3 linked regions of the Kluyveromyces lactis genome follow. The protein of the gene in region 3 purifies or fractionates together with the protein of the main gene of each other region. This does not show direct contact. Links are inferred from orthologs where the notes say so. Each region holds a gene or a part of one and is shown on either strand. Other genes may lie near its edges.

Region 1 (4,017 bases), on a different chromosome or scaffold from region 3:
ATGTCAAGTGCCCAGGTTGTTTGAACATCACTACTGTGTTCTCTCACGCTCAAACCGCTGTCACTTGTGAATCATGCTCTACCGTCTTGTGTACCCCAACCGGTGGTAAGGCCAAGTTGTCTGAAGGTACTTCTTTCAGAAGAAAATAGATTAATCACTTTCTATAGCACACCAATAATTTTAACATAAAACGTATTCATTCTGTTGTACAGTTACGAGTTGACTTCTCTTCTTTACACTGCTCTTTATGGTCCGTGGCGCCTGTTTTATTTGGCATGTCATTGACAATGTGATGCTGGTGTAGTATGGTATATGTATTTGGATGTAACCACATAGTAATATACTAGAACGTTATGTCTTCCCTTTAAAGCTAAAGTAAAATTCATATTTGAATTAAAATAAATAAATAAATATAATTGACCCAGTGTCTTTCTTTTATAATGGGATGTAGTTATTAGTTATTTACAAGAAATTGATTTGTTAACCCTCCGCTGGAAGATTTAATACTCATCCACTGCCAATTTCCGGTTGGCATATTTCTTCTCCTTCTTTGCATTCGATAACTGGAAATTGTGCTCATGGAATTTAGCTAACGTATCAACAGCTGATTCGGGATCCATATGTTCTCTTTCATTGTCTAATTGATTTGCCATGTCTTTCAATTCACGTGATTTTGATTTCACAGCTCTCTTCATCTTCTTGATCTTTTCCTTATGCAGTTTCTCAAATTTATTTACATTTAAGGCACCTCCGCCTGCTAGTTTCGTCTTTGCATCTAATGTCCACAAATCTCCCTTTTGAGTCTTTCTAGCATCGTGATATATCTGTTTGTCTAAGGATTTTGGGACAATCCACTTCTCAAATTTACCAGATGGTGCGCAGAGATCGAGAATCACATGTCCTTTTCTCTTAGTAGGTTGTTTAACGATTCTAGGCCACGTATTGGCAGTTTCATCTCCCAATGAGCCAATATCGTACTTAATCTTATTTTCTTCTCTTTCACGATTTATTGCTTCAGTCGTGGCTCGATCTTTTGAAGATCTTTGGGCAATCAAATATGAATAGTTTATAATCTCAAAACTCTTACCATTTCTTCTACCTGAGCCTGGTGCAGATTTCCCCTTGATACCGATACCATCAGTTGGAGTTTGCCATGGTGCAGCAAGCACTTTGCCCTTCTTTAATTCAATAGTAAATCTTGGCCTTAGTACAGTCTTTTGGAAATTACAGAAATTCAATTTCGAACCTTCATCTAAATCGTAATAATGAGGTTTCCCTATCTGTAATGGACATTTTCTATGGTGTGAACAAGGTGCAACGATCTTGATGAAATAACTTTCTTCATCACTAGATGTTCCTCTTTTGGAATCTTCCTTTTCAATGGCTTCAAGAAGTTCTGGTTCGAATTCTAAATCTTGTTTGTTTATTTCTCCATATTTGGCATCCAAGTTTTCCATTAACTGTTTATATTCGTCATCATTTATGTTTAAGGATTCAAGTGTGGGCTCTTCGTTCTCAACAGGCACTGAACGATAACTGGTTCTGCCCATCATCTTATTACCTCTATTCCAGGGTCTTGGAATCTTCCCGTGTTCTTCAGGATATTTTTCAGGTCTGATCATGAACTGTCTTGCCCTTGCAATAATCTCAAAACCCATTGGATTGCCCCTTTCTACTATAACTAGATGTCCGTTCGGGGAAAGAAGCTTCAAATAATGATCCAAGTTGTCATCGATTTGGGCTGGGAATCTTTCCTGGTGTCTTAAGAGCTGATGAGTTAGGATGATCAAATCGTATTCGTTGGAACCAGGAACATCTTTACGCAACCTCGTGTTAATATGAATACTCTTCGTAGCTACTTCTCCCAACATCTCGTCATCTCCTTCGATATTGTCAGCTTCTTCTTCTTTCGTTTCGACATTCTCAGTGGGCTCTTCTTCCCCGTATAACATGTCGTCTGGAATTTCATTCAATTGTCTACTCAAAATTATTTTTGCCCTCTTTTGCATCTCAATATGACCTATGATAGTGGCTTCTTTCACTCTGGGTCTGTACTCTTTTCCCATTAAATCGTTCAAAGCAACAATACCAGTGGCTGGCCCATAACCAACATCTAATACTCTTTGAGGATTGAAACTCTCCCCTACCCTTTTCTTAAGTTCTGATAAAGATTGATATATGGCAGCATAATTCTGCACAAAGATTGATGCGATATGAGAATCCACTTCGATGTTCGATGATGTAGGTCGATGAAGGGAGCTTTCGTATAACTCCACGAAATATTTGGATGCGGCTCTTCTTAGATTACCAGGTATATGTAGAGACATTATGTTGTTCTGGATTGCTTGACTCATCACAGACGGCAATTGGATCTGATCTCTCAATACCCGTCCTTCAAGAGTTTTGGGTAGAAGTCTTGCCTCCTCTGCATTTTCACCTTGTAAATGATTCCCATTTTGATCTCTGTAATCTCCTTTAACCTTATCCGAAAGCAAATGATCTCTCTCTATAACTATTGCGTTATCTTTCTGAGAGTCATCAACAACAGAACCAAAACTGGTTGGCGCATTATCTCTTGTAGATGCATCTAAATCATTAACGTTAATCGGGAAATCGGCCAGTGAAGAGTACCTTGACACAGGAATACGAGTGAATATTCGAGGGCTAAGCGTTCGACTGCAACGTAACATATTGGTAGCTTCTTGTCTGGGCTGGTGTCAGTCTATCTATGTTTCTCTATCCACTGAACGTCGCCATCTCATCGCATCTCCAACTGATTTCTCATACAAATTTACAGAATGGTTTTCAAATCTTTTTTTTTTTCTTTTAACTTTTCAGCCTGATAAATTTGTTAAACAGTTTAAAGTCAACATGGACATATAGAGACCCGGTGATTTCAGTTAGGGTTGCTAGTTCTGTGAGTTTCTGTTGCATCTGAAGACTGTTTCTAGGGGCTTGAACATCGAAACCGTAATATATATCGGCAATGTTGTCGACACCAATTTTACTAGCATGCATTATTGTTATGATCAGTGCAGCATTTGTGCTGATCGTACAAAAGACGAGTGCCAACGTGATTCCTGGTGCTTCTAAATACACCAATAGAGCGCCCACTTTCATCATTGCAGGCTTGCCGCAAACGGGGAAGACTGCATTGTTCAATTTGTTAACCACAGACTCGGTCAAACCATCGGTGATGTCACAAGAACCCAATGTGGCTGAAGACTACATGTTACCAACTAGTCATAAGAATTTCAAGTTTAAATTGATCGATTTCCCAGGACATGACAAGTTCCGTTCTGAGCTGCTCCAAACCATCAAGGATTCGAGTCAATTGAAAGGGCTCATTTATGTGATTGATTCTACTATTAATCCTAAGGAATTGGTCAGTACTGCAGAACTATTGTATGAAATATTATCTGTCACCGAATTAAGACCAGACGGAGTTGACATCTTGTTGGCATGCAATAAATCTGAGTCATTCGTGGCAAGACCTCCATCAAAGATCAAGGGTGCTTTGGAGAAGGAAATAACTGAAATCATGAAGAGAAAGGCCAAAAGTTTGAAGGCAAACTCGAAAAAGTCCTTGAGTGACGATGCTAATGACGATGATGACGATGAGGTTGCTGTTCTTCAACAAAACTCAGCCGGATTCGAATTCGATAGAATTGATGGGAATGTAGATGCTAAGGAGGGAAGCGTTTTGAAAAATGATATTGATAAGTGGGAATGCTGGATTGATGAACGTGCAATGAATTAGGCGATCTGCCTTGTTGCCTTTCAGGAATTTTTTTCCCATATTCATATATAGCACATTTAATAAAGCCATGTAATGAACTGTGAACGATTGCGATTTGTCATATCCTTTTCAGCCTTGTTGTTTGGTCATTGAATTTGAAGTTAAAGGTTAAGTATTGGTATGCGTTGGTTTGTCTCTTGTCTTCGGTACATCACTGCAATCATTCCATAACATTACAGCAACTGAGGTTCCAACGATTGAAGTTCCAAGTAGTAACA
Region 2 (2,610 bases), on a different chromosome or scaffold from region 3:
CAGTAACATTTTTCTCGAGTGTATGTTTTGTTGTCTTCCTCGGATTAACTACTGATGCCAGGTTAAAGCTAATAACATCAACTCATGATAAGCTCGCCCATTGCATAGTATTTTGCATTGAAACCGTTCTGTTTACCATGATGTTTGAATGTGATACCGTACAGTTGCCGGCATTCATCCCCAAAAGACTACGATCAAGGAATTTGGCTGCGTACGAACCTTTTTCCATGAACAAATATCTATTGGCATTTATTGTATGCTGCGTATGTGCCAGTACGAGCAGTGAATTTGCACAACAGTTCCTCTCACGAGGAAAAAGGTCCTTTGATGTAAACGATATTTTGGCCAATTTTTCGGGAAGTCTGCTGGGCCTAGGAATTGCATATAAGATAGAGCAACAAATTCAGCATAACTATGAAAATCGATAACGTTCATTTATATTTCACGTATACATATGTACAGGTTTATTCAAGTAAATACAGTGGAGGTTGGAACTTTGATCATTTTAGGTTAATGTAAGCTCTGTGTGCAATAGCAGTCTTATGAATAGAGTCTCTCTTTTCGAAACCTGAACTATTACCGTTGAAGACAGATACCAATTCTTCACCAAGTCTTACTGAGAAATCGCTCGATGATCTCTTCACAGAACTTTCCACAATCCATTTCCAAGCTAATCTAAACCTTTGTCTTTGATTCAATGGAACTGGAACCACAGTGGCCTTTGCGACACCAGTCTTGAAGGTCTTGATAACCATAAGAGGCGCCAACACATCCAAGGATTCTTTCAAAACTTTTACCGGGTCTTTCCTTGTTTGACAGAACACAATATATAACGCTCTTGAAAGAATCTTCTCAGCTCTTTCTCTTTTCCCGTGTCTCATAATCATATTCGTTACATGCTGTAAAACTGGATCCTGTTTTTTTGGAATGGGAACTTGCTTCAACGTTTCCCATTCATTTATTTGCTCTTGACTTGGCTCAAAGCTGGGCTTGTTCAATTCCATAGCCTTCTCCAAGATATTAATTCTAGATTGGTTACCTGGTGCAAGGGACGTAGCTGGGTTATAATCTTGTTGCGAAAACTCTTCTTCTAACGATCCAATAACTTTCAACCATTCATCAACCTGTTCGTCGCTAAGGCTAGCTAATTTCTCCCCTGTAGACGCATTATTATTCACAGATTGACTTTGGAATCTGGTTTGCATGGTCGGTATACTGGCAGCATGTACAAGTGGACTTCTTGCCAAAACGTTAGCATGGACGTGACTCAGACTAAACCTTCCTGCTCTCAACATACTGTACAATTTCCGTTGAATAGATGCCAGTGTACACAAGGACCACACAAGGACACACACAATACAACCAGAACCTATTCAATCTAAGAGTAACTCTCATTAGATCCAAATTCAAGCTTACTTCACCAGAATATGATGATATTGAATTTGGTTTGAAAATCGTAAATTTTTTTGATCAAAGGTTCAGAGATGAGCCAGTGTGAACAGTGTTACCCGCATAAATACACGTGACTACTAATGATCTGTTTCTATGTGCCGTTGGTAGTTTTGCCTGTCAGTGCATTGAGCACAAGCTTGCCAAGAATAATTAATGATATTATATAGACTGTACCTTATTAGACACCTTAGCCTTTAATATTATAGTAAAGATGTCGTTGATCTATTTTGTATTCAGGTATGTAACTATAGTATCTTTAGAACTTCCGTACTTAAGTGTTAAAATTCCTGCCGTTCTTAAGTGAAATCCTTTAAATAATATCACATTTCGTTACGTGAAAAGTTGGTGAAATTTGTTATATGCGCACAATATTATGTGAAATGATAAATAAAAGAAATTTGTTCAAATAACATGTAGGTTTCTAAGCTACAAAGATAGAACGGTCAATCAACAGACTAGAGAACGAACTTTATAAGGCTGCTGGCTGAGCTGGGATTGGCTAACCGTGTACTGTCTATTGGGACTAGGTGTTACAAGTCCGTTGTTTCATATTATTTTCCGAGACTATCCTTTTTATCTATTCTATATCTGCCAGTTTGGAATAAAAAAGGCATCGCTCATACTGGACTTATTTGTGCTAATTAGAATACCCCGAGAACACCGATCTTTCGTTAGTGCCATTTCAAGGAGATCTAACCAAGTGTAATATTACTATACCGTAGAATTTTTTTTTTTTTGCCAGCCTTTCCTACTATCAGCTCATTAATCAGATACATTGTCAATATGATGGGAATAAAATCCAGACATCTATACGACCGTTTGACTAAAATAGTTATCGATAAAGATCTAAGCGCGTTTAACGAAATATCGCCTTCGCAATTGATCCCACAGCTATCTGAACATTTCAGCATAACGATACCGAAGGAGATCTTCAATTATAACGAGGACCAAGAGGAAGACCTTTTACACAGATTGAAAGAGCTATCGAGGTACCTTGTTGTGAAATTTGCAAAAAGAGATAAGTATCCGTTCACGATTCAACGGATATGCGAATTATCTTACCATCCATTACAATATTTCCCTGTGCACAGTTTGCAAAAGTTTGTGTCGGCCATGGAGAAATGTTGCTTGGTGAATACTGATTGGACACCCAGGCTG
Region 3 (3,175 bases):
TCAAGGCCATGGAGGAGCCATTGAACGGAAGAATTGTAGAATGTTCCAAAGATCAGGAATCAGGTGCATGGAAACTACTTAGGTTCAGAGACGATAAACTCAATGGTAATCACGTATCAGTCGTTCAAAAAGTCTTGGAAAGTATCGGTGATTCTGTTTCATTGGATGATCTAGAACAAGTGGTAGATGAAATGAGATCTCGCTGGAAAGAACGTGAACAAGGACTGAAAAATGCACAAAAACAATTCAACCATCAGGCTTCTGCGAGATCGTCGCTGTCGCAGCAACATTCAACCGAACCAGAGCAGTCGCAAGATCAACCAAAATATGTAGACGATGACGATGATAATTGGTCTGATGACGAGCCAGACACAAAAAGACAGAAGATTTAAGAATCTTGCGTCAAGTTAAAAGCATAACATATACACGAGCATATGTGCTCATATTATATTTCTTTCCTGTATTTACATGGGTTTTTTTGTAATATATAATATGTACAATTAGAATGGATATAGTGTAATACTCTTGAGCAATTCCCTTGGATTACCATTACCACTTAAGAAGTACTTTTCTTCGGTAAGCTGTTCGAAGGTTTTGTTCTGTAAATCTTTGTCAAGTACGATACCCGCCTTTTGGTAGAACTCCATCAATTTGGCAACTTCATCTTTATTAAGTTTGGTAACTTCGAACTCCTGTACTTTACCCTTTAGTAACTTTTCGGCCAAAATTTGTTCATAGTGGTATCTGGTCAAATATGGATCGTGAGGAAGCTTTTGCAAACCAATTGATAACGTTCTATTGGTTCTATCCAAACCCGAAGTAGCCAAAACAACACAGCTGTCCTTAGCAGCGAATTGCAAATCGCCAGAGACTAAATCAAAAATAGATTGACCAACCTGGAATTTTAAAATATGAATATTTTTGTTGCTTGTGTCTTTATATGCTGTGAATGGTGTAGTCAAAAGATGGGAGAAGTTATCAACAGTGAAATAGACCGGATGATCAGTTTGGTTAGTTAATTCTTTAATGAATGCATCGAAAACGGCTCCACGGTGACGAGATGGTGCCTTGACACTTAGTAAATCGTATAACGTGGATTTACCTGCAGATAAATTCACATTTCTCTTCACAGATAGGTCTTTACCCCCAGAGTGAACTAATTTATAGTCTTTGGAGAGTTTAATGGATTGCAATAATTCTTTTTTGTTGGATTTGACAAATTTGGTTAATAAGTTCTTGATGTACATTGGTTGAATGTATCTGTCTTCATCCAAGAAGAAGTCATTTCTACCATTTGTAAGAAGTTCGGAGTTGGAAACAGTTAACACAAGTCCCTTGTTTTCTAGTGCGTGAGCATGTAGCTGGGCCAGTAGAGTAGACTTACCCACACCTGGTTCACCTGTTAGAACAAGCTTTTTGTTTTCTGACTTCCGTAAGGCTTCGTACAATTTTCTAGTGGTGGAATCTCTAACTAGTGATATTGGACGTGTGAACAATTCATTGAATTGATTTTGCTTGAATGAACCCAGACGATACAAGAATTGTAATTGCTGCTCTGAGAAAGAATGGACATCTGCGGCACTGATGTTATTAGGATTAAACATGGGCAGATCGACAAAAGTTGCATTTTTATGTAAATTAGCCGTTGCAACAGCTGGTTGCCATCTCTTATACATGGAACCAGGAGTAATTCTTTTGGCTGCTGCCTTAGTTCCTGATTGAGCCTTAGCGAACCCTTGGGCTTTCTTCTTAGCTGCAGCCTCTACTGCAGCACTGCAGGAGAACTGTCTGGTATGTATTCTCAACATGATCGAAATATATCTTACGGGTCCGGATATCTCTAAAAAGAAGTGAAATCCGTCTCACTAATATAGCTTCTTTTTTACTAAATCACACTTCTGTAATTATTCTTAAAACCAACACAAATTGACTTATTAAAGTGGATTATTTCACGTAGTTCTGTTATTCTTTATCTATGTCACTTGAAGTCTGCCTGCTACTGAAGTAGTTCAAATTTCGAAAATTTTTCAGATATTGAAATCATTAAAGCTTAAGAGAAAATAAAATATACGTGTCACGTGAAAACACTAAGAACTATGGAAGTATATCTATTAAAGGGAAGAACGAAACACGCAATGCTATAAATGGTGTCGGACAGAAGATCTTAATCCTGTAGTTGGATACCTCTTGCTGTGAGGAAATCAAAGATTGGCCTTTGTGGTTTTTTGCCCTTTTCGTCGGATGGAGTAGGATCTGATGGAGCCTTTTGTTCCAAATCTTCGGTAACAAGTTCCACTGCTTGAGAGGGTTGCTGTAGTTCTTGCCCCTTCAGCTGCTGTTGTTCTTGGCTAATATTATATGAAGGGTTGAAGGTGTCGATGTACGAAAAAAAGGCGTTGAAGACGTTTTCATTGACTTCTTCAAGGTAAATTTTATCGTAGATATGTTTCATCTTGAACGTATCCATTTCGCTTTGATATTTACTGAAGTCAATCGGATCATATCCGAATTCTTGTAATCTAGTGTTGTAACCATCATAAACCGGGGCTTCCAATAATAAACCTAAAGCAGGGGCTTTTGGAATATTGATTTTTTCTTGACCGTATGCCTGCCTAATTCTTTCCAATGGACTGAAACATCTTGTGATCAAAGTTGCCATAGATATCATCTTACGAATTTGATGTAACATAAACGATTGACCGTGGATTTTGATCGATACCCATTCCGTCTTAGCTTCACCAATAACAAACGGTTCTGAGACTGTGATTTGCTTCATGAATCTCTTGGCGCTCGGATCGTTGAAATCTTTCCCCAAGGTGAAATTATGGAAGTTAAAAGTACCCTCGTATTGTTTTAATGCACTTCTGAATCTATCTAAACGTTCTTTTGAAATTCTGTAGGCTCTCTTGTGTTCTGCTTCGAGTTTCTTGAATGCTTTGCTCTTTTGATAAGTTTCATTGTTTTCATCAAAAGAATCTTTCGGCATGACAAAAGCTGCAATCTCTTCCAATTCCTCCTTGGTAAACTTAGATTCAGCCTCAGTAGAGAATGCTTCCCAGAATTGTGCACTTTCTACATCATCTTGGATAACATTCGGTATTTCCTTCTTGCTAGCTTCAATCTCGTTGTATAAATAAGTAGACGGTTTTGGGCCAATCAGTGAATAAGTTGGTAA

Evidence for each region.
Region 1: the proteins of RSM23 (region 3) and RSM22 purify together in Saccharomyces cerevisiae (affinity purification with mass spectrometry; 3 studies listed by BioGRID, with this or other methods). This does not show direct contact. The link is inferred for Kluyveromyces lactis from reciprocal best matches to the Saccharomyces cerevisiae genes RSM23 and RSM22.
Region 2: the proteins of RSM23 (region 3) and RSM7 purify together in Saccharomyces cerevisiae (affinity purification with mass spectrometry; 3 studies listed by BioGRID). This does not show direct contact. The link is inferred for Kluyveromyces lactis from reciprocal best matches to the Saccharomyces cerevisiae genes RSM23 and RSM7.

The regions. Positions count from the first base shown.
Region 1 is NC_006041.1:1,031,375-1,035,391, forward strand, and holds RSM22 (tRNA methyltransferase RSM22), read right to left. Parts: upstream 2,691-4,017; coding exon 501-2,690; downstream 1-500. Other genes in the region: KLLA0_E11661g (40S ribosomal protein eS27), read left to right, coding at 1-149; SRP102 (Signal recognition particle receptor subunit beta), read left to right, coding at 2,987-3,760; KLLA0_E11727g (uncharacterized protein), read right to left, coding at 3,908-4,017. UniProt on the Saccharomyces cerevisiae protein: Mitochondrial ribosome (mitoribosome) assembly factor. Binds at the interface of the head and body domains of the mitochondrial small ribosomal subunit (mt-SSU), occluding the mRNA channel and preventing compaction of the head domain towards the body.
Region 2 is NC_006041.1:512,170-514,779, reverse strand, and holds RSM7 (mitochondrial 37S ribosomal protein uS7m), read right to left. Parts: upstream 1,296-2,610; coding exon 501-1,295; downstream 1-500. Other genes in the region: KLLA0_E05765g (uncharacterized protein), read left to right, coding at 1-428; PSY4 (Psy4p), read left to right, coding at 2,236-2,610.
Region 3 is NC_006038.1:197,350-200,524, forward strand, and holds RSM23 (mitochondrial 37S ribosomal protein mS29), read right to left. Parts: upstream 1,809-3,175; coding exon 501-1,808; downstream 1-500. Other genes in the region: CEG1 (mRNA guanylyltransferase), read left to right, coding at 1-392; pseudouridine synthase PUS1, read right to left, coding at 2,165-3,175.